Linked DNA regions of Elephas maximus indicus. The protein of the gene in region 1 interacts with the protein of each later gene in a pairwise test. Links are inferred from orthologs where the notes say so. Each region holds a gene or a part of one and is shown in the gene's direction. Other genes may lie near its edges.

The links.
Region 2: the proteins of PGBD1 (region 1) and NR4A1 interact in binary tests that used the Homo sapiens proteins (3 or more experiments, as listed by UniProt). The two-hybrid records come from large-scale screens. The link is inferred for Elephas maximus indicus from reciprocal best matches to the Homo sapiens genes PGBD1 and NR4A1.
Region 3: the proteins of PGBD1 (region 1) and ZNF446 interact in binary tests that used the Homo sapiens proteins (3 or more experiments, as listed by UniProt). The two-hybrid records come from large-scale screens. The link is inferred for Elephas maximus indicus from reciprocal best matches to the Homo sapiens genes PGBD1 and ZNF446.
Region 4: the proteins of PGBD1 (region 1) and SCAND1 interact in binary tests that used the Homo sapiens proteins (3 or more experiments, as listed by UniProt). The two-hybrid records come from large-scale screens. The link is inferred for Elephas maximus indicus from reciprocal best matches to the Homo sapiens genes PGBD1 and SCAND1.

Annotation. Positions count from the first base shown.
Region 1 is NC_064819.1:79,717,034-79,724,606, forward strand, and holds the start of PGBD1 (piggyBac transposable element-derived protein 1), read left to right. Parts: upstream 1-4,559; 5' UTR 4,560-7,552; coding exon 7,553-7,573.
Region 2 is NC_064822.1:107,447,435-107,455,250, forward strand, and holds the start of NR4A1 (nuclear receptor subfamily 4 group A member 1), read left to right. Parts: upstream 1-4,811; 5' UTR 4,812-4,953; intron 4,954-5,131; exon of another isoform or gene 5,132-6,167; intron 6,168-7,816. UniProt on the Homo sapiens protein: Orphan nuclear receptor. Binds the NGFI-B response element (NBRE) 5'-AAAGGTCA-3'. Binds 9-cis-retinoic acid outside of its ligand-binding (NR LBD) domain.
Region 3 is NC_064829.1:87,338,885-87,346,357, reverse strand, and holds the start of ZNF446 (zinc finger protein 446), read left to right. Parts: upstream 1-4,458; 5' UTR 4,459-5,393; exon of another isoform or gene 5,394-5,737; 5' UTR 5,738-5,869; intron 5,870-6,662; 5' UTR 6,663-6,663; coding exon 6,664-6,933; intron 6,934-7,473. Other genes in the region: ZNF324 (zinc finger protein 324A), read left to right, coding at 612-2,071. UniProt on the Homo sapiens protein: May be involved in transcriptional regulation.
Region 4 is NC_064843.1:33,573,677-33,581,229, forward strand, and holds SCAND1 (SCAN domain-containing protein 1), read left to right. Parts: upstream 1-5,135; coding exon 5,136-5,684; 3' UTR 5,685-7,036; downstream 7,037-7,553. Other genes in the region: uncharacterized protein LOC126067332, read right to left, coding at 4,625-5,137. UniProt on the Homo sapiens protein: May regulate transcriptional activity.

The DNA of each region.
Region 1 (7,573 bases):
TTCTGTAATGGCTAACGATTGTGAACATTTCTTCATGTGTCTGTTAGCCGCCTGAATGTCTTCTTTTGTGTCTGTTCATATCCTTTGCCCATTTTTTAATTGGATTATTTATTTTTTTGTTGTTGAGGTGTTACAGTATCTTGTAAATTTTAGAGATTAGACGCTTATCAGATATGTTCTAGTCCAAAATTTTTTCCCAATATGTAGGTCCTCTTTTTACTCTTTTGATGAAGTCTTTCAATGAGCATGAGTGTTTGACTTTTAGGAGCTCCCAGTTATCTAGTTTCTCTTCTGGTGTCTGTGCATTGTTAGTTATGGTTTGCATACTATTTATGCCATGTATTAGGGCTCCTTGCATTGTCCCTATTTTCTCTTCCATGATCTTTATTGTTTTAGATTTTATATTTAGGTCTTTGATTCATTTTGAATTAGTTTTTGTGTATGGTGTGAGGTATGGGCCTTTTTCATTTTTTACAGATGGATATCCAGTTGTACCAGCACCATTTGTTAAAGAGACTGTTTTTCCCTCAATTAATGGACTTTGGGACTTTGTCAAATATCAGCTGCTGCTAGGTGGATGGATTTACATCTGGGTTCTCAATTCTGTTCCATTGGTCTATGTGTCTGTTTTTGTACCAGTACCAGGCTCTTTTCACTACTGTGGCAGTATAATAGATTCTAAAATCAGAGAGTGTGAGGTCTCCCACTTTGTTCTTCTTCAGTAATGCTTTACTTATCCAGGGCCTCTTCCGTTTCCATGTAAAGTTAGTGATTTGTTTCTCCATCTAGTCAAAAAAAATGCCCTTGGGATTTGGATCGAGGTTGCGTTGTATCTGTAGATAGCTTTGGGCAGAATTGACATTTTCATAATGTTGCATCTTCCTATCCGTGAGCATGGTATGTTTTGCTACTTATATAGGTCTCTTTTGATTTCTTGCAATAGTGTTTTGTAGTTTCTTTTATGTCTCTGGTTATTTATTCCTAACTACTTTATCTTCTTGAAGCTATTGTAAATGGTACTGATTTGGTGATTTCCTTTTTGAAGTTGTCTTTGATTTTGGTATGTTTATCTTGTATCCTGATACTTTGCTGAAATCTTCTATTAGTTCCAGTAGTTTTCTTGTGGATTCTTTGGGGTTTTCTGTACATAAGATCATATCATCTGTGAATAGGGATGCTATTACTTCTTCCTTACCAGTTTGGATTCCCTTTATTTCTTTTTCTTGCCTTATTGCTCTGAGTACAACCTCCAGTACAATGTTGTGTAAGAGTGGTGATAAACGGCACCCTTGTCTGGTTCCCATTCTCAAAGGGATTTCTTTCAGTTTCTCTCCCTTTAGAATGATGTTGGCTGTTGGCTTTGTATAAATGCCCTTTATTATGTCAAGGAATTTGCCTTCTATTTTGCAGAAAGTTTTTGTCAGGAATGGGTGTTGGACTTTGTCAAAGGCCTTTTCTGCAATAATTATAAGATGATGTGGTTCTTATCTTTTGTTTTATTTACATGATGGATGGCATTGTTTTTCTAATACTGAACCATCCCTGCATACCTGATATGAATCCCACTGGGACATATTGAATTATTTTTTTGAAATGCTGATGAATTCTATTGCCTAGAATTTTGTTGAGGATTTGTGCATCTATGTTCATGAGGGATATTGGTCTGTAATTTTCTTTTTTTAGTGGTGTCTTTGCCTGGCTTTGATATCAGGGTTATGCTGCTTTCATAGAATGAGTTCGGGAGTATTCCTTCCTTTTCTATACTCTGACATACCTTTAGTGTTATTGGTGTTTTCTCTGGAAGTTTGGTAGAATTGTCCAGTGAAGCCATCCAGGCTTAGGTTTTTTTTTTTTGTTGTTGGAAATCTTTTTTATTACCTCTTCAGCCTCTTCTTTTATAATAGGTTTATTTAGTTTTTCTACCTCAGTTTGTTTTAGTTTATGCCAAGAATGGAAGACAGCTACTTGGCCAACCGACTGGAAGAGATCCACAATTATGCCTGTTCCCAAGAAAGGTAATCCAACCGAATGCGGAGACTGTGGAACAATATCGTTAATATCATACACAAGTAAAATTTTGCTGAAGATAATTCAAAAGCAGCTGCAGCAGTATATCGACAGGGGACTGTCAGAAATTCAAGCCAGATTCAGAAGATGACATGAAACCAGGGATATCCTTGCTGATGTCAGATAGATCCTGGCTGAAAGCAGAGAATACCAGAAAGATGTTTATCTGTGTTTTATTGACTATGCAAAGGCATTCGACTGTGTGGATCATAAAAAATTATGGATAACATTGCAAAGAATGAGACTTCCAGAACACTTAATTGTCCTCATGAGGAACCTGTACATAGATCAAGAGGCAGTTGATTAAATAGAACAAGGGGATACTGTGTGGTTTAAAATCAGGAAAGGTGTGCGTCAAGGTTGTATCTTTTCACCATACCTATTCAATCTGTATACTGAGCAAATAATCCAAAAAGCTGGACTATATGAAGAAAAACGGGGCATCAGGATTCGTGGAAAACTCATTAACAACCTGTAATATTTGGAATATGCAGATGACACAACCTTGCTTGTTGAAAGTGAGGAGGACTCGAAGCACTTACTGATGAAGATTAAAGAGCACAGCCTTCAGTATGGATTACATCTCAACATAAAGAAAACAAAAACCCTCACAACTGGACCAATAAGCAACATCATGATAAATGGAGAAAAGATTAAAGTTGTCAAGGATTTCATTTTACTTGGATCCACAATCAATACCAATGGAAGCAGCAGTTAAGAAATCAGAAGACACTTTGCATTGGGCAAATGTGCTGCAAAAGAATTCTTTAAAGTGTTGAAAAACAGAGATGTCACCTTGAAGACCAAGGTATGCCTGATCCAAGCCATGGTGTTTTCAGTCGCCTCATGTGCAAGCCAAAGCTGGACCATGAATGAGGAAGACTGAAAAAGAACTGATGCCTTCAATCTGTGGTGTTGGCGAAGAATACTGAATACTCCACCGGCTGCCAAAAGAAGGAACAAATCTGTCCTGGCAGAAATACAGTCAGAGTGCTCCTTAGCAGCAAAGATGGCGAGACTATGTCTCACATACTTTGGACATGTTATCAAGACAAATCAGTCCCTGGAGAAGGACATCATGCTTGGCAAAGTAGAGGGTCAGTGCAAAAGAGGAAGACCCTCGATGAGATGGTTTGACACAGTGGCTGCAACAATGGGCTCAAGCATAACAACAATTGTGAGAATGGGCAGGTCTGGGCAGTGTTTCTGATTTTGTGAACAGCCATGTTCATCTCCTTTGCTGATTTTTCTATTTCGCTTCTCCTTTTGCTTTTAAGGAACCCTGGTGGCATAGCAGTTAAGTGCTACCGCTCCTAACCAAGGGGCTGGCAGTTCAGATCCATCAGGTGTGCCTTGGAAACTCTGTGGTGCAGTTCTACTCTGTCCTATAGGGTCGCTATGAGTAGGAATCCACTCAACGGCAGTGGGTTTGGTTTGGTTTTTGGTTTGTTGGCGCAATGGTTAAGAGCTGGGCTGCTAACCAAAAGGTGGGCAGTTCAAATTCACCACTGCTCCTGGGAACCCTATGGGGCAGTTCTACTCTATAGGGTCACCGTGAGCAGAAATCAACAGACTCCGCAGCTCCGGTTTGGGTTTTTGGGATCCTTTAAACCTCAATGCCCTTAAAGTTGAAATAGGAGCACTGTGTGCCAAAATTTTATGTGCACATGTCCTTTGGGGGAGTGTTTTTTTATGTCCTTTGACCATCCAGTTCCAATGTGTGGAATGTGTCCTAGAAATATAAAAGAATATATTCAATTTTGTTCTCTCCAGCATTGTTTATAAAGAAAATAACATAAGTATACCTCAGTATACTTTTTTTTTTTTTTTTACCTCAGTAGGCACAGTTAAGTAAATTATGGTACAGCCATACAATAGAATACTATTTAGCTCATAAAGGATAAGTTGCTATGGAAAGATCTCTAAGCTATCTTAACTGAGAAATCTAAGGTGCAAAATTATACAGTGATCCCATATTTTAAAATGCACGGATATATACTTATTCACTAAACAAATATTTATGAGTACTATTTTTTTTTTTTTATAGGGTCTCTGTAAGTAGGAATCAGCTTGATAACGGGTTTGGTTTTCTTTGTTTACTTTGTGGTAGGTAGGGTCCTCGAAAGATATACACAGAAAATAGTTAACTCTGGTGAGTGGGACATTTATTTTTCATTATCTCCATGTTAGTTGAGTTTTTATTGTACATACACAACCCGTAAAATTTTTTTAAATTAATTTTTGCTGCTTGCTGTATTTTAATTGATTACTGATTCGTGTCCCACACTACTAGCCCGTGAGGACCCCAAACAGAGACTCGGTTTTGTCTTTACCACCTTGTTGGTTTAAAATAAAGAGCTTTTAACTGAAATGATTTACATAAACGAGGTGAGCTGCTTGTCCGACCCCCGGGGGCTGGGTTCTGGGGGCTGAGGGAGGCCTGGGCGAGGCGGGAAGTGCGTTGCGTCTCTCCCGGCCCCTTCCGCCCACCAGCGTCTGCCTCCCAGGTCCCGGCCGTCAGCTGCAAGCCTTGCTCTGTCAGGATTTCGAATCGTTCTCACTCTAGTGTGAAGGGGCCCCGGGGAACCTTCGGAGAGTCAGCGGGCGCCCGAAGGAGTGGGAGAGAGGGTGCGAGGCGGACCCTGACCGGGCCAGACTGCCCTGGTAGCCTCCTGCCCGCGCGCCAGGCGCACCAGAGAGACGAGCGGCTGCGCTCATAGAGCGGCGCGGGACCCGCTGGACGCCGCGACTCCGCCGCCCGCGCGGGGCTGGGCCTGCGAGGCGGGACGGCGGGCCGGGGCCCGGGGCGTCTCCGGGGGCACCCCGGCGGTGCGAGGAAAAGCCCTCGGCCCCCTGGCCCGCGGCTGCTGGAAGTGCTGGCGAGACCCGCCGGCTCTGCGAGGCGCCGCGGCCCTGGCTCCCAGAGGCCGGCCTGCACCTACAGGTGTGTGGGGACTCCGGACCCAGCGGCGCCGCGGGCAGCGCGGGAGCCTTTCGCGAGGCCGGGCATATCTTTGTTGTACACTTTCGCTGAACCTCTGGTCCGTTAACCAGCAATTAGACAAGCATTATTGAGTGTCCATGGTGTGCCAGACTCTGCGCTAGATCCTGGGGTGCAATCTCAGTGAGATACATTCCGGGCCGCCTAGAGTGTCTTGGCCGCTGGCATCTCGTATACGTCTGTGTGCGCTCACCAAGAAGTTCACCGATATTTGTTGAATACCAGGTACGTGTCGGGCATGTAGAGGCCATGCAGAGATAAACCCCGGTCCTCAAGTAAGCTTATTCCTCCTTGGCAGTCGGGAAAAGAGGGGGATGTCAGGAATACGAGAGGAAATGAGAGGTGCGTTAGGACTGGGCTTACTTTTCCATGGGAACATCCCATCTCCACCATTGTGGCTTAGAGGGCAGAATAGGTGGCTAGGAAAAGTTTTACGGAGGAGGTGGCATTTGCTCGGGGCCTTGGGAATTTACCCTGTCAGAAGAGCAGTCCTGGCCATAAACTACAAGGCAGGTGGAGAAAACTGAGTAGTCCCCACAGTAGTGGCATGAGGAGTTTGGGAAGACTTTGGTTTCCTTGAAGGTAGGGATTCTGTTTTTATTCCAGGGTTAGCCTTATGCATGGAAAACAGTGAGGTGTTCAGTAAATTTTTATGGAGTGACAAACAAACCAGCAAAACCCAGTAAAGATCACATCCTGGGATGCCTAAAATTGCGTTCTAGAGAGTTTGAATTTAGTTAGTTCAGTGAGGAGCAATTGAAACCTTTTTTTTTTCCCCCCTTGAGGCATTGTTGAATACAGTCAGAATTGGGATTTAGAAAATAGTAATCGAGTGCAGTTTTATTCTGACACCATAGGGTTGCCATGAGTCAGAATTAAACTCCCTGGCAACTGGTTTTGGAGTTTATGGGTGGCTCAGATGCTGGGCTGCTAGTAGAAAGGTTGAAGGGTTAAGGTTTGAGTCCACCCAGAGGCACCTGGAAGCAAGGCCTGGCGATCTGCTTCTGAAAAATGAGCTGTTGAAAACGTTGTTGAGCACAGTTCTGTTCTGACATACATGGGTTGCTATGGGTTGGAATTGACTGGATGGCAACTGGTTTGGTTTTCATTTAACAATTGATTGTGGGGTAAGTCAGTAATATCACACAAAAAATTATTGTAATAGTGAATGTAAATGATAATAATAAGAGAATAAAAAGGAGGAATGGCTACAAGAGGCATTTTGGGAGAAAGAATTGACTAGACTCAGAGTGATTGGGTATAGGAACCGGTTTCAAGCCTGAGAGCATGGAAGATGGTAGTGACATCAATAAAAATGGAGAAATACAAAGCAAGTGCAGCTTTGAAAGGACTCTAGTTTGGGGGTATGTTGAAATTGTGGGGCAGGAGAGGCCTATAGCTGGAGGTATCCCGCTGGCAGTTCGAGATGTGGGTCTGGAGTGTGAAAGACAAGTTGGAGCTAGACATAGATTTGAGTGTTCTTGAGATGGCAATGTACTGAAATTGTGATTGATGAGATCACAAAAAGAGAAAGTGAGGAGAAAGAACAAAATAACTTGAAGCATGTCTACTGTTCCAGTCATGTATTGTTGCATAAGAACATAAAAAATAAATAAAAACTTATTATTATTTCTCCTGATTCTGTGGGTTAATTGGGCAGTTCCACTGCTGTGGTCTCACCTAGAGTTACTTCTATGCCTGCATTCAGCTGGTGGCTCAGCTGGGGACTAGGTTCTCCTGGGTATTGACTGGGGCACCTTGGCTCTCATCCACATGACTACTCTGCATGACTAGCTTGGGCTTCCTCACAGTATGGCAGTCTCATGGCAGTGTGCCAAGAGTTATAAGGCCACTTCCTCTTATAATGTCATTTTTGTCACATTTTATTGGTGGAAATAAGTCATAATCCAGCACAGATTCAAGGGAAGGAGAAATAGACTCACCTTTTGATGTGAACAGTGGCAAAATCTCATTACAAAAGATATTTGGGGGTAGACGTTATAATTTCAGTCATCTTTGGAAATAGTCTACTGTACCTACATTTGAGGTGGAATATTCAGTGAGAGATACACAGAGATAGATGACTTTGAGAATATAGTATCTGTCATGCAGGTAGCCACCTGGCTCCTTCATGAGTAAAGTTATCTCCCTTTCCTAGCTAAAATGTAAACTGCTCAAGCACTCTTAAAAGTCTAATAAGCCCTTCTTCCCTCATATTTCACATCCTTTAGCTCTTGGCTGGACCCCCTCAGGGTTGAAGATGTACTTCTGATTAATTTCACTGATAAAGATAGGCAAACGGGCTCAGCTTTTGAACATGACCTACTGTGGGGACAAAAATATTACCATGTGGTGTAGCGTTTTGAAGCTCTTGTAATTTTCATGTTACTGACACATTCTCATGCCTCAGATAGACATTTAGAAAAACATTTCTGAACTGTAAACCACAGTCAAGTGATCCCTGTTCTAGCATCTAAGCTTAACATGTATGAAGCTTCAGGCCCT
Region 2 (7,816 bases), on another chromosome or scaffold:
CCACCAGCCACGGGCGGGGCGGGAAGAGGGGGACGATGCGGCAGTCTGCTTCCATAAAGATCAGCCTTGGAAACCCTATGGGGCAATTCTACTCTGCCCTATAGGATCACTATGAGTGGAATCGAAGACTGGAATGGCAATGGGTTTGATTTTGGTTTTTAACCCCATAATTGACTCGACGGACGGTTAACAGGTAAGGGGCCCTGGTGGCACAGTGGTTAAAGTGCTTGACGCCTAACTGAAAAATCTGGGGTTGGAAACCACCAGAGGCTCCAGGGGGGAGCAAGATGTGGCCTTGGAAAGACTATGGGATCGCTACGGTTCGGAATCTACGGCAGTGGGTGGTGTCCCTGGACAGCCCCTGCTCTCTGGGACAGCCCCAGGAAGGCCCTGCCTTTGTGCCCCCATTTTTCTGTCCTCTAATTGCTCCCAAACCTGGGAAGTGGTGGGGGGACCCCACCCAGGTAGTTCTTGATCCTCAAGATGAAGAAGGGACCCATAAGGGAATCCCCTCCACAGCCCCTCTCCTCATTGAGGGTCAGGGCCTGGGAAGGGGAGCCCTTTCTGGACCTACAAGAACCCCTTTGACATCCTTTGGCTCCTCCCTGCTGCAGTGGGAGGGAGTGGGTGGGGAGGAATGGTATCTCCCTGACTCAGTGGGGTTGGATCAAGGGTTTCTGATAATGTAAGATTGAGGGGCATATAGTGAAGACCACTAAGGGTCTGACTTTTTGTCCTGGGTCCTGCAGCTCACAGCTCCTCATCTCCAGAATCCCTACCTTGCCCCCTAATACCTATCAGCTTTGGGGCCAGCCCTTCTCCACTGTGGTATGCCCTTCCTTCTCTCTGCCCTGCCTGGTCCTTTCCCTCCCTGCACACTGTGCCCCCATGTTCTCCTCCTCCAGTGAGGCCTCTCAGACTAGCTCTCTAGATTCCACTGCAGTGCTGGCTTGAGACCTCTTAGAGGCTGCTTCCTGGTCTTCTGACAATATTTTAATACCTATTCTTGTTTCTTGCCTCCCCATCAGACTAGGAACCAGCTTTCTGCCACAGCACCTCCCTGAGGAATTTCCTAGAAGACAGGACAACACTGGCCAAAGTGCCTGCCCCCCCAACCCCCCCCCCCAAACTATTCAGGTAGCTTCTCTTTCCTCAGCTTCCTCATCTGCAGTATGGACTGTGTAGGGGTTCCTGAAGGAGCCTTGGTGGCACAGTGGTTAAGCGTTCGGCTGCTAACTGAAAGGTGAGTGGTTCAAACCCACCCGCCACTCAGCGGGAGAAAGATGTGGCAGTCTGCTTCCAAAATGCTTACAGCCTTGGAAACCCTATGGGGAAGTTCTACTCTGTCCTATAGGGTCGCTATGAGTTCTAATTGGCTCAGTGGCACACAACAATGGTTCCTGGGATTTGTGTAGAAAGAGGAAGGGCTAGGCATGAAGGAACAAGATGGTGGGTAGAAACAGCACTGGTTTGGGAGTTAGAAGATCTGGGCTGTGGTCCTGGCTTGGTCACTAGCTGAGTGACCTGGGTCAAGAAGACAGCAAAGCCACAAACCAGTTGCTGTGGGGTCAATTATGAGTCATGACAATCCCACATGTGTCACAGTAGAACTATACCCCATAGGATTTTCGGTGGCTGTTTTTTCTGAAGTAGATTTTCAGGCCTTTTTTCCGAAGCACCTTTGGGTAGACTTGAACCTCCAACCTTTCAGTTAGTAGCTGAGAGCGTTAACCACCTAGGGACTCCAGAAGACAACAAGGGGCCTGGAATTTACTGTACATCAGTAATGGCACTAAGGGGTGGCATAACCCCCAACTGCACAGCCCTCCCTGCCCCGCAGCTTCCCTACATAAACATACCAGCTGGGCAAAGCCATGGTAGGCACTTTGCATGTGCAGCTTCAAGACAGGTTCCCCAGCCCTGCCTTCCCACCAGATGGCCTCCGCAAGTCCTCCTCTGTGGAAACGGCAGCCCTGCCACTATGTGCCCAACTCCTTGCTACATGTTTTATGTCTATTATCAAAGATGCATTACTTATGACAACCCTTCGAGATACGTATGTTATCACACTTGTGTTTCAGATGAGAAGCCCAGAGAGGGCGAGTAACTTCCTTGAAGTCACACAGCTGGGAAGAGTTTGAGCCAATGTGGATCCCAAGCCTCTTGAGTCTATGCTTCTTTCACCACCTCATGCTGGCACCACAAGCCACACAGTGCGTGTGTTTTATCCATGCATGTTTTAATATATGTTTTGATTATAAAGCAGGGGAGTTTAAAATAAAGGCAAGTTGTGCTAAGGTATTTATAGAAGGGAGAGACCTCTGTGGGCTGGAAGGCTTCATGGAAAAACTGGTAACTGAGCCCTTTTTTTTTTCCTTAGTCCTTCCTGTCCAAATAAATGTATTTCTCCTACACAGGCAAATATTTTAGAATGTATTTCAAAAGTTAGATTTCTGGGAAAAGAAAAAGAGGGGGTGGGGTAGTGGTTTAAGAAACCCATTAGGAAGCAGCTGCTGAGGCAGGAAGGAGGGGAGTGTGGAGGGTGGAAAAAAGCTGGTCCCCTGGCTTCCCCCGCTCAGCTATTTTTTTTGAAGCCTCTCTTTATCTGTAAATTGGCCTAACACTTGTATCTGGGAAAAAAATGTGAAGGTTCTGAGGAGGTGATTTGGAACAAACCAGAGGTTCTTGGAATTATTATGAGGAATGAGAGAAAGGGGCTTCTGAGTTGCACCAGGAGTTTAGGGTAGGTCCAGAAAAGGATTTGTGGGGGTGGGTATGGGGGTGGGGAGAAGAATGTGGCCCCTGGAATGAGGGCTGAGTGGGGTGTGGGGCCTCCTTTGGAGAGTGCAGAAGGCATTCTTTGCTGCGTGGGGCCTGGCCTGGGTGCTGGGGATTAGATCTCGTGTTCATAGTTTAAAGTGACTCCAAAAGTGAGCAGGGACCGGTGGCTGGTGTAGCAGAGCACAGGACTGGGTCCTCGCTAATGACTGTTCTCCAATGGCCCTGCCGCCCAGCATACAGGAGCTGTGACCCCCAACCCCACCCAGCCGGACCCAAGCGCCACTGCTCAGGCCTTGGCCTGGCGACCCCCTCCCCACAGATACACCTGAGCAGGCAGCTGTTGGGGAAGAAGGATTTGCTCAGGACAAGGTAGTTCTCCCATATCCAAAGAATGCCCCAGTCAGGTGGGACAGAGAAATCTTCCAAGCACCCCCACCACCAGGAAGGTTCTTATTGGGGAAGCCTGCACTTAGAGACTGTCTTAGTCATCTAGTGCTGCTAAAACAGAAATACCACAAGTGGATGACTTTAACAAAGAGTTTATTTTCTCACAGTAAAGTAGGCTAAAAGTACGAATTCAGGGTGTCAGCTCCAGGGGAAGGCTTTGTCTCTCTGTCGGCCTTCTCATCTATCTTCCCCCAGACTAGGAGCTTCTTCGTGCGGGGACCCCGGGTCCAAAGGACATGCTCTGCTCCTGGTACAGCTTTTTTGGTGGTATGAGGTCCCCTTGTCTCTCTGCTCCCTTCTTTCTTTTATATCTTAAGAGATTGCCTCAAGACACAATCCAGTCTTGTAGAGTATACAGCCTTACTAACACAACTTCCACCCATCCTCCCTTATTAACATCATAGAGGCAGGATTACAACATATAGGAAAACTCACACAATACTAGGAATCACGGCCCAGCCAAATTGATACACACCTTTTTGGGGGGACATAATTCAATCTGTGACAGAGACTACAGTCAGAGGAGGGTGGGTCTCTCAGGGCTTCCTGGCCACTGTGTATTTCCTGCACTAAGCACTCCTGAGGATTGGAGAAGTCGGACTTCTAAGGGAGAGCAAGGAGGAGAAATTCATTCTACTGTGTACAGGGCAACTTCACAGCTGCTTAATCTTCCAATAAACAAAAAAAAAAGGAAAAGAAACAACCAAGATGGAGACAGTCTTATCATCCTCATTTTATAGGTAAGGAAACAGAGGCTCAGAGAGGTTAAGTGACTTGTCCCAGGTCACACAGTGGTATGCGTATGATCTAGAGAAGCCAGGTCTGTGACTCCATCACGTGTGCTTTGCCCTTGCACGCATTCTCAAGTCTGGGACTGCTTCTCTTCAGGGGAAATTTCACTCTCTCAAGAAGTCCTCTTTCTGTCTAATCTGCCTTCTTGTCTGGGAGCTGGGCACTCTTCTTACCTGGCTTCTTTGCCCTTGGGGTGGCATACAGGCCAAGAAAGGCTGGTGTGGGTGCCCAGGGCTCAGTCAGGGGCCCTGTCATCTAAAGCCAGCCTAACTGCTGTGAGACTTTGGGCCGCCGCGAAGCCTCTCCGGGCCTCTTTTTCCACTTCTTCCTCGGGGGAAGCCCCGGGTAAGTTTATTTATAACCTGGCTCCGGGTTCCTGCCTCGCTAGGTGTTAGCAAGGCCTCAGAACCCTGTGAAAAACAGCCCCTCTGCCCCGGCCCCAGCGAGGCGGGTTATGTAACAGTGTGTGCAGCCTGTGTGTGTTGGGGAGGGGGGGTGCCGCGGGGCGGGGCGCTCGCGGCTATTCCGGGCGCCGCTATTTTTAGCCCCATTGATGAGGCTGCGTCGGCCGCCGCCGCCGGGATTCCGGAGACGTCAATGGGCGCGCGTCACGGTCCCCGCCTGCCCGCCGGGGGAGGCGCGCCGAGGCTGGGATGGCTACGCGGGCGGCCGCGGGCTGCGGGGGCGGGGGGCACGGCAGCGGCCGGAACTGCTGGGCCGGGGGCTTCCTGGGGGCGGGGGGCGCCGAGCCGCAGCCTTGCGGCGGCAGGAGCGCGAGCCGGCGGCGGCGGAACTAGCGGGGGCCCCCACGCGGCGCCCGCGCCCCCCGGCCTCCGGGTATGGGCGCCGCTGCGGTGCAGAGCAGCTCCCCGTCTGCTGATGCGCGACCCCGGAAAGCTAGGGTGGAGAGGCGAGGCAAGCACTCCCTGCCAGGTGAGGGGGCAGCCTGGGGAGGAGCACGGTGGTCCCCGGGGGAGGCCCGGGGAGGAACGGGGTCTACGGGGTCTTCGCGGATGCACTGCAATGGGCTCAGGGCCACGCTGGGAGTCTTGCTTGGAAACTGGAGAGTGGGGGGAGGGGGGGACTGGATTCCCAGCGGAACCTGCTGGCTCAGAGTCAGCCCCCAAGTGCGACGGCCAACCCTTTCTCTCCCAGCCGGCCAAGGGTGGGGTTTGGCCCGCGAGGGGCGCTGGAGGTGGCCAGGCCCGAGAAATTCCTTCCATATCCCCGCCGGCTGCGGGGAACGAGTTCCAGGAGCTCCGGAGCTCGGCTGCCAGGAGGTCGGGGCGGGAGGGCCCGGAATTGCCCTGCGCAGCCCCTGAGTGGGTCTGAGCCTGGAAATCGAGCCCAGAGAGGGTCTTATGGGGTCAGGAGCGGGGCTAGGGTTGGGACTCAGGAGCCACATCTACCATGACAGCGTATTTTTCTGCCGCAGCACCCTCTTTCCCAACAGCGACCTCATACTTGGGGAGAGCGGCACCTCCTCGGGGGGTGTTGAGGGGAGAGCTCCGTTCCTTGACTTCAACAGATTCTCCTTTTATGCGCCCATTTTTGATAAGTGGACTGGTGGACACAGAAATGCTGCAGAGGTGGCATGTCTTGTTGACAGTGAAGTGCTGGTCTGCGTTTTGGGGTTAGTATTATGGGCCTGTCGGGAAAATGAAGAATGGGCAGGGGCAGGTAGATTCACAACTGTTATACTTAAAAGGTGCTGATGGTTTGGGGGACAGATATCACCCTGGAGAGGGGCTCAAGTGGTGGCCACAAAGCATGGTCCCAGACACATTCCAAGGGAACACTTAGATCAGTCACTGGGATGAAGACTTAAAGGGGAAGCCAGTTGACTTTTTGTTCTGACCCAGAGCTGGGAGGAATGACAAGTGTACCAAAAAACCAAACCCATTGCCATTGACTCGATTCCGACTCATAGTGACTCTATAGGTTAGAATCGAACTGTCCCATAGGGTTTCCAAGGCTGAAATCTTTAAAGAAGCAGACTGCCACATTTTTATCCCGCAGAACAGCTGGTGACCTTTTGATTAGCAGCCCAACACTTAACCGCTGCACCACCCATAAAATGAAGATTTCAAATGTGGGCTATAGGGCAGAAGGATGGGCCAAAACTGACAAGATGAATGTGACTAATGGTAAGTGTTTACAGGCCTGGGCTGGAGTTCAGAAAGTCATCTCAGGAGTCAGGCTTGGTGAGAGGCCTGGCTCAGCTGCCCAGTGGGTGGGGTCTGTCACACTGTTCTGTGCAATCTGAGGCCTCTACCCACTGCACAGGTCCCAGGGGGCATGGTGATACCCCGCCCTGGGCTCCCTGGTCAGGCTACCTGGGTTCTAATCCCAGCATTGCCAGTTCCTAGCTGTGTGATCTCAGGCAAGTTGTGTAACCTTTCTGTGCCTTTGTTTCCTCGTTGGTAAATGTGCATACATCCTTCCTCATAGTGCTGCGAGGCTGAAATGAGAACATGCGTGTGAAGCGCTTCACAATGTATGGAGCATGGTGTTTGACAAGTATTAGTGACTGTTATTACTGTTAGTATATGTCCATTTCAGGGTGGGGACATAGGCAGAGGTTGTGCCCAGGAGGCCACCAGGGCTGCAGAAGGTCTGTCAACCATATACTGTTGCACAGGAGCGTTTAGATAAAAGACTCAAATACTTGGTAGGAAGGAGAAGAAGGTCTTCTGTGGGCTCATGCAGGAGGTAGAGCTGGGATCCAGGGCTGTGAGGCCTTTAGAGTCTGGGCTGTGACTCAGTGTAGGAAAGATCCTCTGATCTGCCCCAAAGGGGAAGAGGCAGTTTTGGGAGCTGTCTGGCTCCTTAGCTCAAATGTCCTCCCCGTCTCCTTCCAGACAGCTCGCTGACTCTCCTCTCAGGAGGGTGGTGTACCCCTCCCCATTCCACAATACTTACGGAACACTTAGTGCTGAGCACTGTTTTAGAGACTGAAGACTGGCCGTGGTGGCGTCAGGCAGGGTCCTTACTTATGTTCTAAAAACAGAATAGTGTGATGGGTATGGGGGGGCTCTTTAAGGAGGTGACAAGGGGAATAGAAACCTGATGGATGAGGAGCCAGCCTTGCAGGCATCCGGGCAGTGACTTTCTGGGCAGAGGGAACAAAGGCCCTGAGGTGGGGAAGAAAGCTCACGTGACTGAAACACAGTGAGTGGAGGTAAGGTGCAGGTGCGGGGGAGAGGGGGAGTGGCCGGGGGGGAGGGGAGGGGAGCCAGAGCTGGGGCAGCCTGATGCTCCCTCCCCGTTTTGTGGGCATCACTTTCTCCTCCGAGCTCACTCAGCTCTTGGCCCACCCTCGGAGGCACAGGGCTGTTTGTAAATGTCTTTGGTTCTTTCTGTGTCCCTCTCCCCACTACGACCTCCTGAGCTGCAGGTGTCTTGGTTTGCTCATTCTTTTGGAATGAGTGTTGAGGAAGGAGTTTTAATCTGGGACATGAGATTGTATCAGATACCTGTTCTAAGGTGTAATGAATCACTTTCTGAACATTGGGTGCCACACTCTGGGCCCTGTCCTCAGACACAGGCAGGGAAGACCTGGGTTCTTCTCTGGTTGGGCCTGACTGGGGTTCGAGGGTATTTGGCCCTCCCTGCCCTGCTGTCTTCTTCCCCAGCTGTGAGGAGACCCTTAAGGCCTAACTACAGAGTCGTTTGGGGGGTATGGGAGAACGATAGTGTCATTCTGGAAGCAGGTGTAGCCTGTGGGCTGCGACAGGCCTGAAGCCTGATTTTGCTTTTTGTTTGAGGTTGGAAGCCCTCCCAGATGTCCCAGACA
Region 3 (7,473 bases), on another chromosome or scaffold:
TGAGGGTACCAAAGCTGGGTTCAGACACAGGTCACTCCCAGGCCATGGGGAGGCTTGTTAAGAGCCCAAGAGGGCTATACAGCCTCAAACCTTCCCAGTCTTGTTGCTGTATCTGTGGGTCATTGCTTCATTCCCTCATGTATTTGTTCATCAGTATTTCTTGAATACTTGTTGTGGCCACACATGTTCCAGGCACAGAGGACACGGCCTTGACCAGGACACTTGTAGCACTGTCTTTGGGAACAGCAAACACAAAGTCTGGGTACCATGAGGTAGTGCACCACCCATCTCCAGTGGTGACCGGACCTGGCCTGCAGCAGCTGCTCAATGGCTAGTGTCCTTCTCGGTTGGGGCCAGGGCCAACTCTGCCCCTGCCCCTGCATTCTGGGCTTCAGGGCTAGTGTCTTAACTATGGGGGTCCCAGATGCCATGGGTGGCATGCTTGTCACAGCAGATGCTTTTCTCAGCCTGGTCAGGCCTGGGCCCGTGCTTTTCTGCCTGTTAACACACCTACCTCCCAGGGTGCCCACTTTGCCCTGTGTGTTCTACCTGCCCTGGCCTCCGCCTCCTGGCTGGGATGACCCAGATAACCACCATTTCTCTGCTTTCAGGTCCGCGGTGTCCAGCAGATGATGGGGATGTTTACGGAAAAGCAGCATTGCTTGGGGCCTTCCTGGGTAGCCCCCCTCTGACAACGCCTCCCAGAGTCCTTCCCTCTCCTGGTGCCTGTGACCTGGGGAAAATCCTGGAGGGACAGCAGGGTGCCTTTCCATCTGGGGAGAGAAAATCCACTGGGGTGTCCATGATCTATTGGGAGAGGCTCCTGTCGGGCTCCGGCAGCGGGGAGGAGAGCATCAGCTTGAGGCTGACTGCACCCCTGAGGGCTGCAGAGGGCAGCCTGCCCAGGGGAAGGGCCCTCACAGACTGCCCAGTGCCGGGAAAGCAGCTGAGGGTGCAGGAGCAGCAGAAGTCACATATGAGGGAGGCTCCTGGAAGTGCCCTCCCTTGTGTCCCAGTTCACGCTAGGGGGGATCTTCCCACATTCAGGGAGGAAGAAATGGCAATTCTGACCAGCAACCCTCAGGCACTTCCCACTGGCCAGGTGGCCCCTGCTAGGGACGAGCTGAGGGAGGCCCTCCACACTGGCGCTTGCCTCCTCCCTGGAGATAAGCCCTTCGAATGCAGGGCCTGCAACAAGGTGTTCGTCAAGAGCTCTGACTTGCTCAAGCACCTGCGCACCCACACGGGGGAGCGGCCATACGAATGCGCCCAGTGCGGCAAAGCCTTCAGCCAGACGTCGCACCTGACGCAGCACCAGCGCATCCACAGTGGCGAGACGCCCTACGCGTGCCCGGCCTGCGGCAAGGCCTTTCGGCACAGCTCATCGCTGGTACGCCACCAGCGAATCCACACAGCCGAGAAGGCTTTCCGCTGTGGCGAATGCGGGAAGGCCTTCAGCCACGGCTCCAACCTCAGCCAGCACCGTAAGATTCACGCGGGCGGCCGGCCCTACGCCTGCGCGCAGTGCGGCCGCCGCTTCTGCCGGAACTCACACCTGATCCAGCACGAGCGCACGCACACGGGTGAGAAGCCATACGCCTGTGCGCTCTGCGGCGCTGCCTTCAGTCAGGGCTCCTCACTCTTCAAGCACCAGCGTGTGCACACGGGCGAGAAGCCCTTCTCCTGTGCTCAGTGCGGACGAGCCTTCAGCCACAGCTCCAACCTCACGCAGCACCAGCTGCTGCACACCGGCGAGCGGCCCTTCCGCTGTGGGGACTGCGGCAAGGCCTTCTCTAAGGGCGCCGTGCTCATCAGCCACCGCCGCATCCACACTGGCGAGAAGCCTTTCGTGTGCTCGCAGTGCGGCCGCGCCTTCCGCGAGCGCCCGGCCCTCTTCCACCACCAGAGGATCCACACCGGCGAGAAAGCTGGGCGGCGGCCCAGGGCAAGCACTGGACGGCCCCCTCAACCCAAGCCACTATCCATATTATCGGAGGGTGCGCAAGGGAAGGAAACCGATCACACTGCCCCCTCAGGCCCAGCCGCAGGCCCAAAGCCCATGGAGGCCTGAGATCGCAACTCCGACCTAACATGAACGCAGGGAAGGGAACCCCAGGCAAAGGACTACAGATCCACACAGGGGAGGAGCCCTGTGCCTGCGAGCCAGGGACGCAGGAAAGCTTTCGTGTGCACGTGGAGACAGGATTTGCTGCTTAGCCAGAGTGCATCACACCTGCTCCAACCCCAACACTGCACAGAAGTCACCAGAAGGACAGGGCAACCGGGAATTTGCTGTCAGAGCTGGAAAGGGCATGTTGGGGCTAGGATGAGGGCAAGGGTGAAGGGAGGAGGAGACTGGAAATCATCCCTGGGCTTTCTGGGTCAAGATAGCAGACTGGACACATTTCGTCTGTCTTGGCTCAGAAACAACACTAAAACCAGAAAAGAAAAGGCTTAAAACATAAACCCACAAGTGTGCGGATGGTGGAAAAGGGGCTAATAGTAACACCATTTTGAAGTCAGAAGCAGATGGGGATATTGTCACTAATTTAGAGAAAGCCAAATACAGCATTGGCACTGGAGGAAATGGAGGGTTGTCTAAGCAGGCTTATACTGCAGAATTCCAGCGGCTTGAGAACCAAAGTCCAGCACTTATGGAATGAGAAGCCAGGGGACCTACGACAAAGAAGACTGGGAGAGACATGAGAAGCAAATAAACAATAATTAGAACACTTGATCTTTCCCTACGTGGTGTGCAGTGGAAGATTCATCTCTGGGGATTCTACACAGTCTCAGAGAAAAAACGTAAGGATACTCCCACTGGGGTACTTTCCCTTCCAAAGGGCGTATGCTGATAATGCTACAGAGAAGCTCAAGGTTGACAAGTCCCACCCACACACAGGCACAGAGCTTCCAATCAGTGGAATTCATCATGGGATTATCAGAGGACACCAAAATGGAAACAATTTAGGGTTGGCTAAATAAGTCACAGTTCAGCACTTGATGTGGAGAAGCAAAACTGACCCTGTCCCACAGTCAGACTTAAACAGTTACATTGCCTATTGAGATGAACTAAAAATACTGCATGGTTTAGAGTCAGGAAAGGTGTGCATCAGGGTTGTATCCTTTCACCATATTTATTCAGTCTGTATGCTAAGCAAATAAAATGAGAAGTTTGACTATATGAAGAAGAATGGGGCATCAGAACTGGAGGAAGACTCATTAACCTGTGATACGCAGATGATACAACCTTGCTTGCGGAAAGCAAGGAGAACTTGAAGCACTTACTGCTGAAGATCAAAGACTACAACCTTAAGTATGGATTACACCTCAACATAAAACAAAAATCCTCACAACTAGACCAATAAACATCATGATAAATGGGAAAAAAATTGAAGTTTTCAACAATTTCATTTTACTTGGATCCACAATCAATGCCCATGGAAGCAGCAGTCAGGAAATCAACTGACATATTGCACTGGGTAAATCTGCTCCAAAAGACCTCTTTAAAGAGTTAGAAAGCAAAGATGTCACTTTAAGGACTAAAGGTTTGCCTGACCCAAGCCATGGTGTTTTCAATCACCTCATAATGCATGCGAAAGCTGGAAAATGAATAAGGCCGAAGAAGAATTGACGCCTTTGAGTTGTGATGTTGGTGAGGAATACTAAATATACCAGGGACTTCCAAAAGAACAAACAAATCTGTCTTGGAAGAAGTACAGCCAAAATGTTCCTAAGAAGGGAGGATGACAAGACTTCATCTCACATACTTCAGACATGTTATCAGGAGGAAACAGTCCCTGGGAGATCATGCTTGGTAGAGGGTCTGCAAATAACAGGAAGACCCTCAATGAGATGGACTGACACAGCAGCTGCAACAATGCACTCAAGCATGACAATGAACATGAGGATGTCCAGGACTGGCTAGGGTTTTGTTCTGTTGTACACAGGGTCACTAAGAGTCAGAACTGACTCAAAGGCACCTAATGACAAAAATAACAGGTCACCCTTCTAGTTCTGGTCCCCAAAATAAATGAAACGTTGAGCACCTCCCCTAAGTCTAGGCAAAAGCCTGCACTCTACTTCGGATAGCTGAAGGTATGATAATCATGGGACAAGTGTGCTACTTTCCTGCCACCAATGGGCTAATGCAATCTCAGTCACTTTGGTAATTGTGCAATTTTTGTTTGGTTTCTTTAAATACCTGCTGCATTCTGCAGGTTGCCCCTCTTTGCAAGTAAATTTCTTTTCCAAATGCTTTTGTCTCTAAGCTTTCCTTCTAAAGATATACAGGCTTGTGCTGCCTATCATGTCATGTTTACTGGAAATACTGAAATTAGTACGTAAATGTTTATTAGATATGAATATACTAGTTTAAGGGGTAAAAAACAGCACAGAAAAGCATCCGAGTTTGAAGAGTGGCAAAGTGGGTTGTGAGATTACTTTTGAACTTTTCTGTTTTCCAAAGTCACTACAATAAGCCCATATTGATTTTTTACTATAATCTTATAATATCAATTTTATTAAAAATGGTCTGAAGAATCATGGCACACAGTGAGGGCCTTATGTAACTGTTGAAGCAGTTTCCTCTTCAGTAAACTGGCGCCTACCGGAGTCCTTGTTACCCCGCACGTCCGCAGGGTGCTCAGTGGAGGTCAAATGTCAGGGCGGAGGAAGTCTACGGATCAGGACTGACGACCCGAGCCTAGCCATTCCCAAGCCCACTTACACGCTCGTCTCAGTCTAACTAGACGTAGCGGCGGAACCGCCACTTCCGGCCTCTCTAGGGGCCGGGGCGACTCTAGCCGTTGCCGTGGAAACAACTAGAGGCTGCAGAAAAAGCACTAGCAGTTACTAAGTGGACCGCTGGGCTGCAAGGAAGAAGCCTCACGGAGAGCTCTAGGGGAATGGCTCGGGCGAAGCGCCAGTTCTGACTGGTCAGGACGTCAGCCTCCTCGTCCGTCACCTCGCCTGCCAGTAGGAACCGGACCCGTTGTGCACATGCGCGATATGCCAAAGTACTGTCCAACTTGACAGTTTGTAAGTCCTGGGGTTCGGGTTTGAGCGAAAAGCGACCGCTGAGGGGGTGGGCCGCAAGCACTTTGTGACCCTTCGGGCCCCATCGTAAATGGGACACCTCTCAGGCATAAGAAGCCTCTGGAAATGAGCTCCCACTGGTCGAGACTGGGACTCCGCTTTTTTGCTGAGGCTCAAGGGAAACGTAGTCCGAAGGGAGAGGACGGTGCCTTTGGGGTAGGCCCCTGATTAGCCAGGGCAACGCGTGGGAGGGGCGAGTCGGTGCGTTCTACGCAAGCGCGTGGAGAATGGCGTGCGGAGCTGGCGCGGCGCCATTTCCCGGAAGTTACCTACGGGGCACCGGCGCCGCGGTAAAGGTGAGCGTGGCCTTTCCCACCCCCTGGAGCGGCGCGGGGCCTACTTTCGGGACCCGGCCGTCCCCTACGCTCGGCCTTGAGCGTCAGTTTCTGTCCCGACGTGCCGTGCGCGTCCGCACCATCGAACGTAGTCCAGGCCGTTCCTGCCTCCCATGAACACCATTCTGTATACCCGTACCTGGGCCCCCGCCTCCGTGAAGACCTCCTCCCTCCTTTCCCTTTTTGGGCGCCCGCAAGGGACAGACAGCAGAGGTCAAGGGCCCCTCGGACAGGCCGGAGGTTGGGCCTGAGCTGAACAAACCTCCTCCGAGCTTAATTTCCGGTCCATGCTTGACTTCTCACAGTAAAGCGAGCTGTGCCTACCTGATGAAGATGTGAGAAACGCTCGACGATTGAGAACTCGTTAGGATTCTGAAAGAGCTGGTTAAATTGCATCGAGTTCTGAACAGAGTTTTGTGTGAACGGAAATTTGCCAGGTGAGTGTAAACATTTTAAACGTACATTATTCACATTTTTTAAGTGTGATATTTAAATTCAAGAAATAGAAAATGCCATGTGATTTATTAATGGTTCCTTTCTTGTATCCAATGTCGATTTAAATGTACTATCACACATTGTACTTATATGTTTGAACTGGGTATTTATCTCGCAAATTTAAATGTTAACAAACATAAGCAACTAGTGGAAAGAAAACGTTTCCGTTCTGATAGAGGATTATTTCACTGAAAACAACTTGATGGCGTCACTATTAAGTGAGATTTTCTTCAAAAGGTGCCGAATAAACATACGAGAATGTTGTAAAGTGGGACTTTAAATGTAGGAAGTTAGCAAACCCTGTGAATGTAAAAACAAAGTTATTGCGTTTTTTCTAATATACTGACAGCTCGTGACTAGAACCGTTGTAATATGTACCGGCTCTGATTCATTTCTACAAATGTATTTATGCATTCTTTTTATGTCATCAAAGTTTAATACTCATTTTTAACGTAACGTGATAAAAACAAAACTGCTTGCCGTCAGATGGGTTTAGACTTATAGCGAGTCTATAGGACAGTAGAACTATCCCCATAGGGTTTCCAAGGCTGTCATCTTTACGGAAGCAGACTGCCACATCTTTCTCCTACACAGCAGCTGGTAGATTTGAGCTGCCAACCAGACACTTAGAAGCTGACCACTTTAATGACTGCGCCACCAGACCTTTTTAAATGTAATATGGTGACTATAAAATATGCTCTAATGTTAATATTATTTTTTGCCCTTGAATTCTAGTATGGGACGAACCAGAGAAAACCCATGTCGAGAATTTTTCAAGTATGAAAAGATTGAAAATAAAAGCACGTGTAAAATTTGCAACACAGATATGGTTGGAGACCATGCAGCGAATTTAGAGAGACACCTGAAGCGTCACCATACGGATGAGTACAATGCAGTGCAAAGCAAGAAGACAAAGAAGATTGAAGAAAGTGTCAGAAGCGTTCCGAATAAGCAACAAAAAACTTTAGAGGAGTTTATGGAGTGTGCTGTTCCAGAATGCCTTAAGGTGAAATTAGATGAACAAGTAATTGTTGATGCATGTGTTGAATTAGTTACTGTTAGGGGTTGTTTGTTTGAGTTAATTGAATATTCAGGATTCTGTAAAATTTTAAATCTAATTACAGGTACGTCTCCCATCCAAAAGTTTGCCTTATACCACTTCGTTTTTACAAAAGACCTACATTAGTACCTGTTTTCGCTAACTGAAAGGAACCAGAAGAGGATTTTCTCTTTTGGGAAAATAGCATTCTTGTATGTAAACAGCTAATTTGGGGGTGTGCACATGCTGCTGATTGTGGGCTTAGTAGGTGAAAACCAGGTCAGTGATGCTATATGGGTGCCAGTTCTCTGCAATCATCTTGCCAACTTTGGGGGTGCAGTAGTCTGGGAACTCGAAATACAACATGCCTGAAGGGGGTAGCAGGTCCAGGTCAAGGTCCAGTGCCCTCCATTCCAGGCTGGCAGGGCCAGGGGCCAGTGTCTGTAGTGCTGCTATAACAGAAATACCACAAGTGGATGGCCTTAACAAACAGAAATTTATTCTCTC
Region 4 (7,553 bases), on another chromosome or scaffold:
AAGAAATGGACTAGAGATCTAACATTCCATGATTCCAAGTACCACAAGAGTTCATTCTTTTTCACAAGAGGACACGGACTAAATTTTTCAACATGGAATTCTAGGCTGTTTATGACTTGGCCACCACCAACCTTCCAACCATCTCTCTCACCCCTCCTCAGACCTCAGCCACTACCCTGTCTAGCCTGCAGCTTCCACAAAGTTTTGCTACCACTCACTTGTGCCTTTGTACAGTCAGGCACAGTGCCTTCTACCTGGAATGCTCCCTAACTCCAACCTTTTTCTTCTTGAGTCTCAGCTTAAAGGCCCCCTCCCCTGTGAAGCCTCCCATGCCTCCTCACCCTTGCAGAAGCAGTTGGTGGGCTCCCTTTGCACTGAACACCGACTGCCTGTTAACACACAGGGAATAGGACTGTTGGTTTGCTCAGCAAACCCAACTGCCTAAGGACCAGGCAAGGGAAGTAAAGGTTTAAAGTCAATAGATATAAAAAACATTAGTCGGCCACAACCGATGACTGCCCTGACAGGGAGCACAACAGAGAACTCCTGAGGGAGCAGGAGATCAGTGGGATGCAGACCCCAAATTCTCACAAAAAGACCATACTTAATGGTCTGACTGAGACTAGAGGAATCCCGGCGGTCATGGTCCCCAAACCTTCTGTTGGCCCAGGACAGGAACCATTCCCAAAGACAACTCATCATACATGGAAGGGACTGGACAGTGGGTAGGAGAGAGATGCTGATGAAGAGTGAGCTATTTGTATCAGGTGGACACTTGAGACTGTGTTGGCATCTCCTGTCTGGAGGGGGGATGGGAGGGTAGAGAGAGTTGGAAGCTGGCAAAATTGTCACGAAAGGAGAGACTCGAAGGGCCGACTCATTAGGGGGACAGCAAGTGGGAGTACGGAGTAAGGTGTATATAAACTTATATGTGACAGTTTGACTTGACTTGTAAATGTTCACTTGAAGCTCAATAAAAGTTAATTAAAAAAAAAAAATTAGCCCTGTATTTTCCCACCTGTTATGGATTGAATTGTGTCTCCCCAAAATATATACTGAAATCCTAATCCCTTTCTTTCCAAGTATGTGTAAATATGATCCTGTTTGGAAATAGGGGTTTTCTTTTGTTATGTTAATGAAATCATTGGGGAGTAGGGTAAATCCTAAATCTAATCCCTTTTGAGTGGTGTCTTATAAAAAGAGCAGAATCGACACACACACACACACACACACAGGGGAACAGACCATGTAAGTAACTGTCCACAAGCTAAGGAATGCCAAGAAACACCAACGAATACCCAAGGCTACTGACATGGCGGGGATGCTGATGTCCTGCTTTGGACATCTAGCCTCCATAGCTGTGAGACAATAAATTTCTGTTCTTTAAACCACCCATTTGTGGTATTTTTGTTACAGCAGCACTAGATAACTAAGCCACCACCTCTGAGAAAACAAAAATATCAGCTGTGAGGAAAAACAACAACCTCAGAGCAATAATAAATGTAAGCATTCTGTTTCAGGGAACAATAGGAAGTGGTGGGGATTGAGGCCAACTGGAACACAGTATCTTGTCTATAGGAAGGAAACTCTACTCTGCTCCATCTGATTGTTGACCTGCAGGAATGTAGGTCCAGTGTGGCCAGCTCTTCCACTTTTTCAAGGAAAGCAGGAAATCCAGACTTGTATGTGAAATCACCTAACTTTTATATGTCAATAGCTGATTTTAAAATAATTAAAAGCCTATTTTGATAACTTTCAGGAGCCCTGGTGGCACAGTGGTTAAGTGCTTGGCTGCTAACTGAAAGGTTGGTGGTTTGAACCTACCAGTCGCCCCATGGGAGAAAGATGTGGTAGTCTGCTCCCATAAAGATTTACAGCCTTGGAAACCCTATGGGGCAGTTCTACTGTGTCCCATAGGGTTGCTAGGGGTCAGAATCAATGACAATGAGTTTGGTTGGGTTTTGGTATGATGATTTTCAAGGTTTTCAGGCTGTGGAAACTGAGGACTGACTTCTACCTATCCGAGGGAGCACATCCTATGGGAGGGTCACTGGTGTGTTGGCTGTTAAACATGTCTACGCATACTGCAAAGAGCTTCCAGGGTTATACAGAGCTTTTCAGATAGGCCCCTGTCCTTCTCTGGGCTTGTTTCTCAATCTGTGAAACGGGGATTCAAATCCTGTTTGTGAGTTGGCTGTCAAACAGAATACAAGAGAAATGCAAATCAAAACTACAATGAGATACCATCTCACCCTAACAAGGCTAGCCCTAATCCAAAAACACAAAATAATAAATGTTGGGGAGGTTATGGAGAGACTGGAACACTTTGCACTGCTGGTGGGAATATAAAATGGTACAACCACTTTGGAAATAGATTTGGCGCTTCCTAAAAAATCTAGAAATAGAATGATATGACCCAGCAACCACACTCCTTGGAATACATCCTAGAGAAATAAGAGTCATCACATGACTAGGTATATGCATACCCGTGTTCACTGCAGCACTGTTCACAACAGCAAAAAGATGGAAACAACCTAGGTGCCCATCAACAGACGAATGGATAAACAAATTATGGTACACACACAATGGAATACTACACAACAATAAAGAACAATGATGAATCCGCAAAACTTATCACTACATGGATGAATCTAGAAGGCATTATGCTGAGTAAAAGTAGTCAGTCACAATAGGACAAATATTGTATGAGACCACTATTATAAGAACTCAAGACAAGGTTGAAACACAAGAAAACATTCTTTGATGGTTACAAGGGTGGGGAGGAAGGGAGAAGGGGATTCACTAACTAGATAGTAGACAAGAATTACCTTAGGTGAAGTGAGGGACAACACACAATACAGGGGAAATCAGCAGAACCGGACCAAAGCAAAGAAGTTTCCTGAACACAACCAAACATTCGAGGGACAGAGTAGCAGGGGTTGGGGTCTGAGGACCATAGTTTCAGGGGACATCTAGGTCAACTGGCATGACAAAGTTTATTAAAATGTTCTGCATCCCACCTCGGTGAGTGGTGTCTGGAGCCTTAAAAGTTTGTGAACAGCCATCTGAGATGTATCAATTGATCCCAATCCACTTAGACCAGAGGAGAATGAAGAAAACCAAAGACATAGGGAAAATATTAGCCCAAGAGACAAAAGGGCCACATAAACCAGAGACTCCATCAACCTGAGACCAGAAGAACTAGGTAGTACCTGGTTACCACCAACAACCACCCTGACAGGAAACACAATAGAAAGTCCCTGACAGAGCAGGAGAAAAGTGTGGAGCAGAACTCAAATTCTAGTAAAAAGACCAGAGTTAAGGGTCTGAGACTGGAGGAACCCTCGAAGCCAGGGCCCTCGGATGCTCTGTTAACCCAGAACTAAAACCACTCCCCAAGCCCACTCTTCAGACAAAGAGGAGACCGGACTATAAAACAGAAAATAATACTTGTGAAGAGTATGCTTCTTAGTCCAAGCAGATACAGGAGACCAAACGGGTGGCTCCTGTCCAGAGGCAGGATGAGAAGGCACGAATGGACAGGAGCTGGTTGGATGGACATGGGAAACCCAGGGTGGAAAGGGGGAGTGTGCTGTCACATTACAGGGATTTCAACTAGTTACATAACAATATGTGTATAAATTTTTGTATGAAAATTAACTTGAGCTGTAAACTTTCACCTAAAGCACAATAACAAATAAAATATTAAAAAAAAAAAAAAAACAGAATACCATTTACTGAAGGGTTTTCAGAGCTAGGTGCTTTTTACCTGCCTCATCTCACTGAATTCTCAGCGTATCCTTTATGAGGTAAATTCTATTACATCCACATTTTACAGATAAGAAAACTGTAGCTCAGAGATAGCAGTCTACCAAACACTCAAAAAGCCCTTTCTTTCCAAGTGCTTACTCAGTTAATCCAACAACTCTGAGAGGTAGGTGCTATTACTGCCTGAGGCCACAAAGCGAATAAACTCTGCAATGGGTACTGTACCAAGGCATCTTAGCCTTAAGTCTGCTCAGTGCTGGGGAACAGAAATTTTGTAGTAGCCAAAAGCAAAAAGAAACAGGTGAAATTAATTTTAATAACGTTTTTTATTTGACCTAATATATGCAAAATACTATAACTTCAACCTGTAATCAATATAAACTTATTCATACATTTTATATTATGTTTTCGTACTAAATCTTTGAAATCCAGGCTTTTACATTACAACACATCTCAATTGGGTCGAACTACATTTCAAGCGCTCAGTACACACATGAGGCTGTTGGCCACGCCGTGGGGCAAGGCATTTACAGTCCAAGCCAAGCCCGCAGAGGACACGCAGTGTGTTGAGAATCTTACACACGTTGTATCTGTCATTCTCGCATTGAGACAGGTGTCACGCCCTCCTTGTTTGATGGTTGAAGGATTTAGGAGTGAAGGATGCATGCCGGTGAGTGGGGAGGTCCAGACTCGAAACCGCACAGCCGCCCCGGAGCCAGGCCCTCCCCAGCGCCCCGCCTGCTGTGCTGCACCGCTTTACCCGAGCCAGGTGCCAGCCCCGGAGAACCCATGGCTCCCTATCATCCTAACTAGGGTCCAGTGAGGAGGAGCGCCCTTGGGGCCAGGGGCGGGTCACCTGAAAGATGAAGTGGTCAAGGAAGCTAAGGAGCCCAGTCGAGGAGTACACCTCGTCACCTCCGGGGTGCTCCTTCTTTACTTTCTCTTCCTCCTTTCCCGCCTCCTCCTCCTTTTCTTCCTCCTCTTGAAACGGGTGCTCCGAAGAGCCATTATCGGACTCAGGTTCCCACACGCTTAGATTGTCTTGCGGCTCCACGACCTCAGCGTCTTCCTGAAGTAAGTCGCTAGGGGGCGACTCTCCCTCGAGCAGCGACGTGGCTTCCCAGCTCTCGAGCGCCGACCTGATCATAGAGAAGCCTGAAGACTTCCGCTTCCGGCCACTCGTGGCGCCTCGCTGGTGCAGGTAGGCTTCCTGCGCTGCCAGGCCGTCCCCCGTCCGCCTCTGTCTAGGGTCGCGCGGCCCCTGCCCTTTAGTCGGGAACGTTCCTCCCCTCCCCCCGCCCCAGCCCTGCGCAGACGCAGTGCTGAGCCCATAGCTGCCGGACAGAGTGACGTGCGGAGCCGGAGTCATGGCAGCAACGGAGGAGAGCTTGGCGACCACCGGGCCGTCTGGGAGCCCCGCAGCGCCTCCGGAGGAACAGGATGGAGCCGGCCCGACGTCGGACCCGGAACGTAACTCCGCAGGTTCCTTTTCGATTCCAGAGGCCTCACCGCCTGTCCCCGAACCCTCCAGCCCCCACGCCGCGGTCCCCGAGGCGATCCCTACGCCTCCCGAGGCAGCTTCCGCAGCCCTGGAGCTGCCCGCTGGGCCCGCGCCCCTGGGCTTTGCTCCTCTGGTCGACGCCGCTCCGCGCTCGCCCCCGAGCCCTGGATGCTCCCGACCCGGCCCCGAGACGTTCCGCCAGCGCTTCCGGCAGTTCCGATACCAGGACGCGGCGGGCCCGCGGGAGGCGTTCCGGCAGCTGCGGGAGCTTTCCCGCCAGTGGCTGCGGCCCGACATCCGCACCAAGGAGCAGATCGTGGAGATGCTGGTGCAGGAGCAGCTGCTCGCCATCCTGCCCGAGGCAGCACGGGCCCGGCGGCGGGGCCGCCGCACCGATGTGCGCATCACGGGCTGAGCGGCGGAGCTGAGGGCGGCTGAGCTGAGGACGGCTGCGCCGCTCTGTGTGGCCTGGGGCCACGATCGGATCCGGGGCCCTGAGCCTGGCTCCCCACTCCGCGTTAATGAAAAACGTGTTTTGGCAGCTCCTGTAGTCTGATGTGCCTCTTTCGTTCGCCCTTTACTGAGTTTATGTTCCCAATCCTATTTCCCACCTCCTTTCTGGCTGATGACAAAACCAAGTCGGGAGCCTAGGAGGGTAAGGCCTTTGCTTCTTATTCCCTGGGCCATTGTTGGCTTTTGTGGGACTCTTACGTGTGGGCTGGATCTGGGTCGATCCCTCCACCGTATCTGGAAGTTTTTTTCCTGTGCTCTAAAGGGTCTCTTTTGCCTTTCCTTTGTTTAGTGGGAGGCTACATAATCAGAGTTACCAGGCTCTGGAGTCCCGCTGCCTGGGTTCCATTTCCACCTCTACCTCTTAGAAGCTAGAATCTAATTTTGTTTTCCCATCTGCAAAGATAGATGAGAGTGATAGGTCCTGCCTCAGAGGTAGCTGTGGAATCCTGCGGGCAAAGTAGTTGGCTGTTAAATGGTTATCTGCCATATCTTTATGCCAATACAGGCACCAACTTATTCTGTTCTACCCTTTGGACAAAGGCTTCCCAGAAGGCCCGTGCTATTGGGCTATTTAAATGTGAAGTGTTTTTTTCCCAGCCCCGCCCCCCCACCCCACCCCAGACTCTGGACAGTTGCTTTGTGCCTCCAGACTCCCTCACCTCCTTCCTTGCAAATTTTAAACTCTGGTAAGATTTAAGAACCAAAACTGGTGTGAACCAGTGGGTTATTTAAATTGCCGGAGCTACTTATTTTAATGAGTGTCTCTACAACTGGCTCCCTTTTTTAAAATACGTGTGATTATTTAGAAAGGGAAGAAGGAATTTGGTGAGTAATTGGGAAGCTCTGCTCTGAAATCTTAAAAACTATTCTTATTTGTTCCCTAAGGCTTCTGCCCACCCAGGATGAAGTTAAATAGGGTCTATGGGCAGGTTGGACTAGTCCCAAAAGGGTCTAGTTGCAATGGGTGCCATCTCTTAATACCATGAAGGCCAGACCAATCCCTGCACTGCTTTCAACAATCACAATCTAATAATCCTGCAGCTAGTACCACAAAGCATGAGCCAGACTGAGCTAGAGGCTGGTTGTGGGGCATTCTGCTTTTGAATATTAGAAAGTCATTTTAAAGTATTTGCATACTTTCTTGGGATCTTGAGCTTGCATCTGCCTCCCTGCAAAAAATAAATCTGTTTAGAATGTAAAAGCAGAGTTTTATAAGGTGATACAGAAAAGTAATGCACATTAAAAAGTGAAAATCTTTATAATTCAATAACATTTAACTGATAAACAGCAACAAAAACCTGTTTTATTTTTTCCAAATACAGAAGTTTGCATGTTTTGCAAATATTGCTTCAAAGCAACATTACATTTCTATATACAGCGCCTTCTGTTCTAACAGCGCGTAAACATAGGTATGTATCCACAGTGCAATGTTGGCTCATCAAGGGTCCACCTTGCATACACTCATCACTTAAAATGGTTAGTCAAAGCAGAACTGTTTTTAACCAAGGCAATTTTTGTAGGTGGATATTTTTCACGAAAAAAACAAAACTTAGGTAGTGCACATGTGTCTAAATGGTAACAGTAATGTTTGCAATTAACAGTTTCCAGTGCTCCAACTTGGGTTAGTTCATCTTGACCTAGGATTTGGGGATCAGGCCCCTCAACATGGCTTTAAATTAGGGAAGCACACTGAGGTCAGAACTTGGAGAGTCCTCCCTGCTTCCCTAAGGACAAAAGTCACACTGGATGAAATGGAATTAGTTCCTTTATA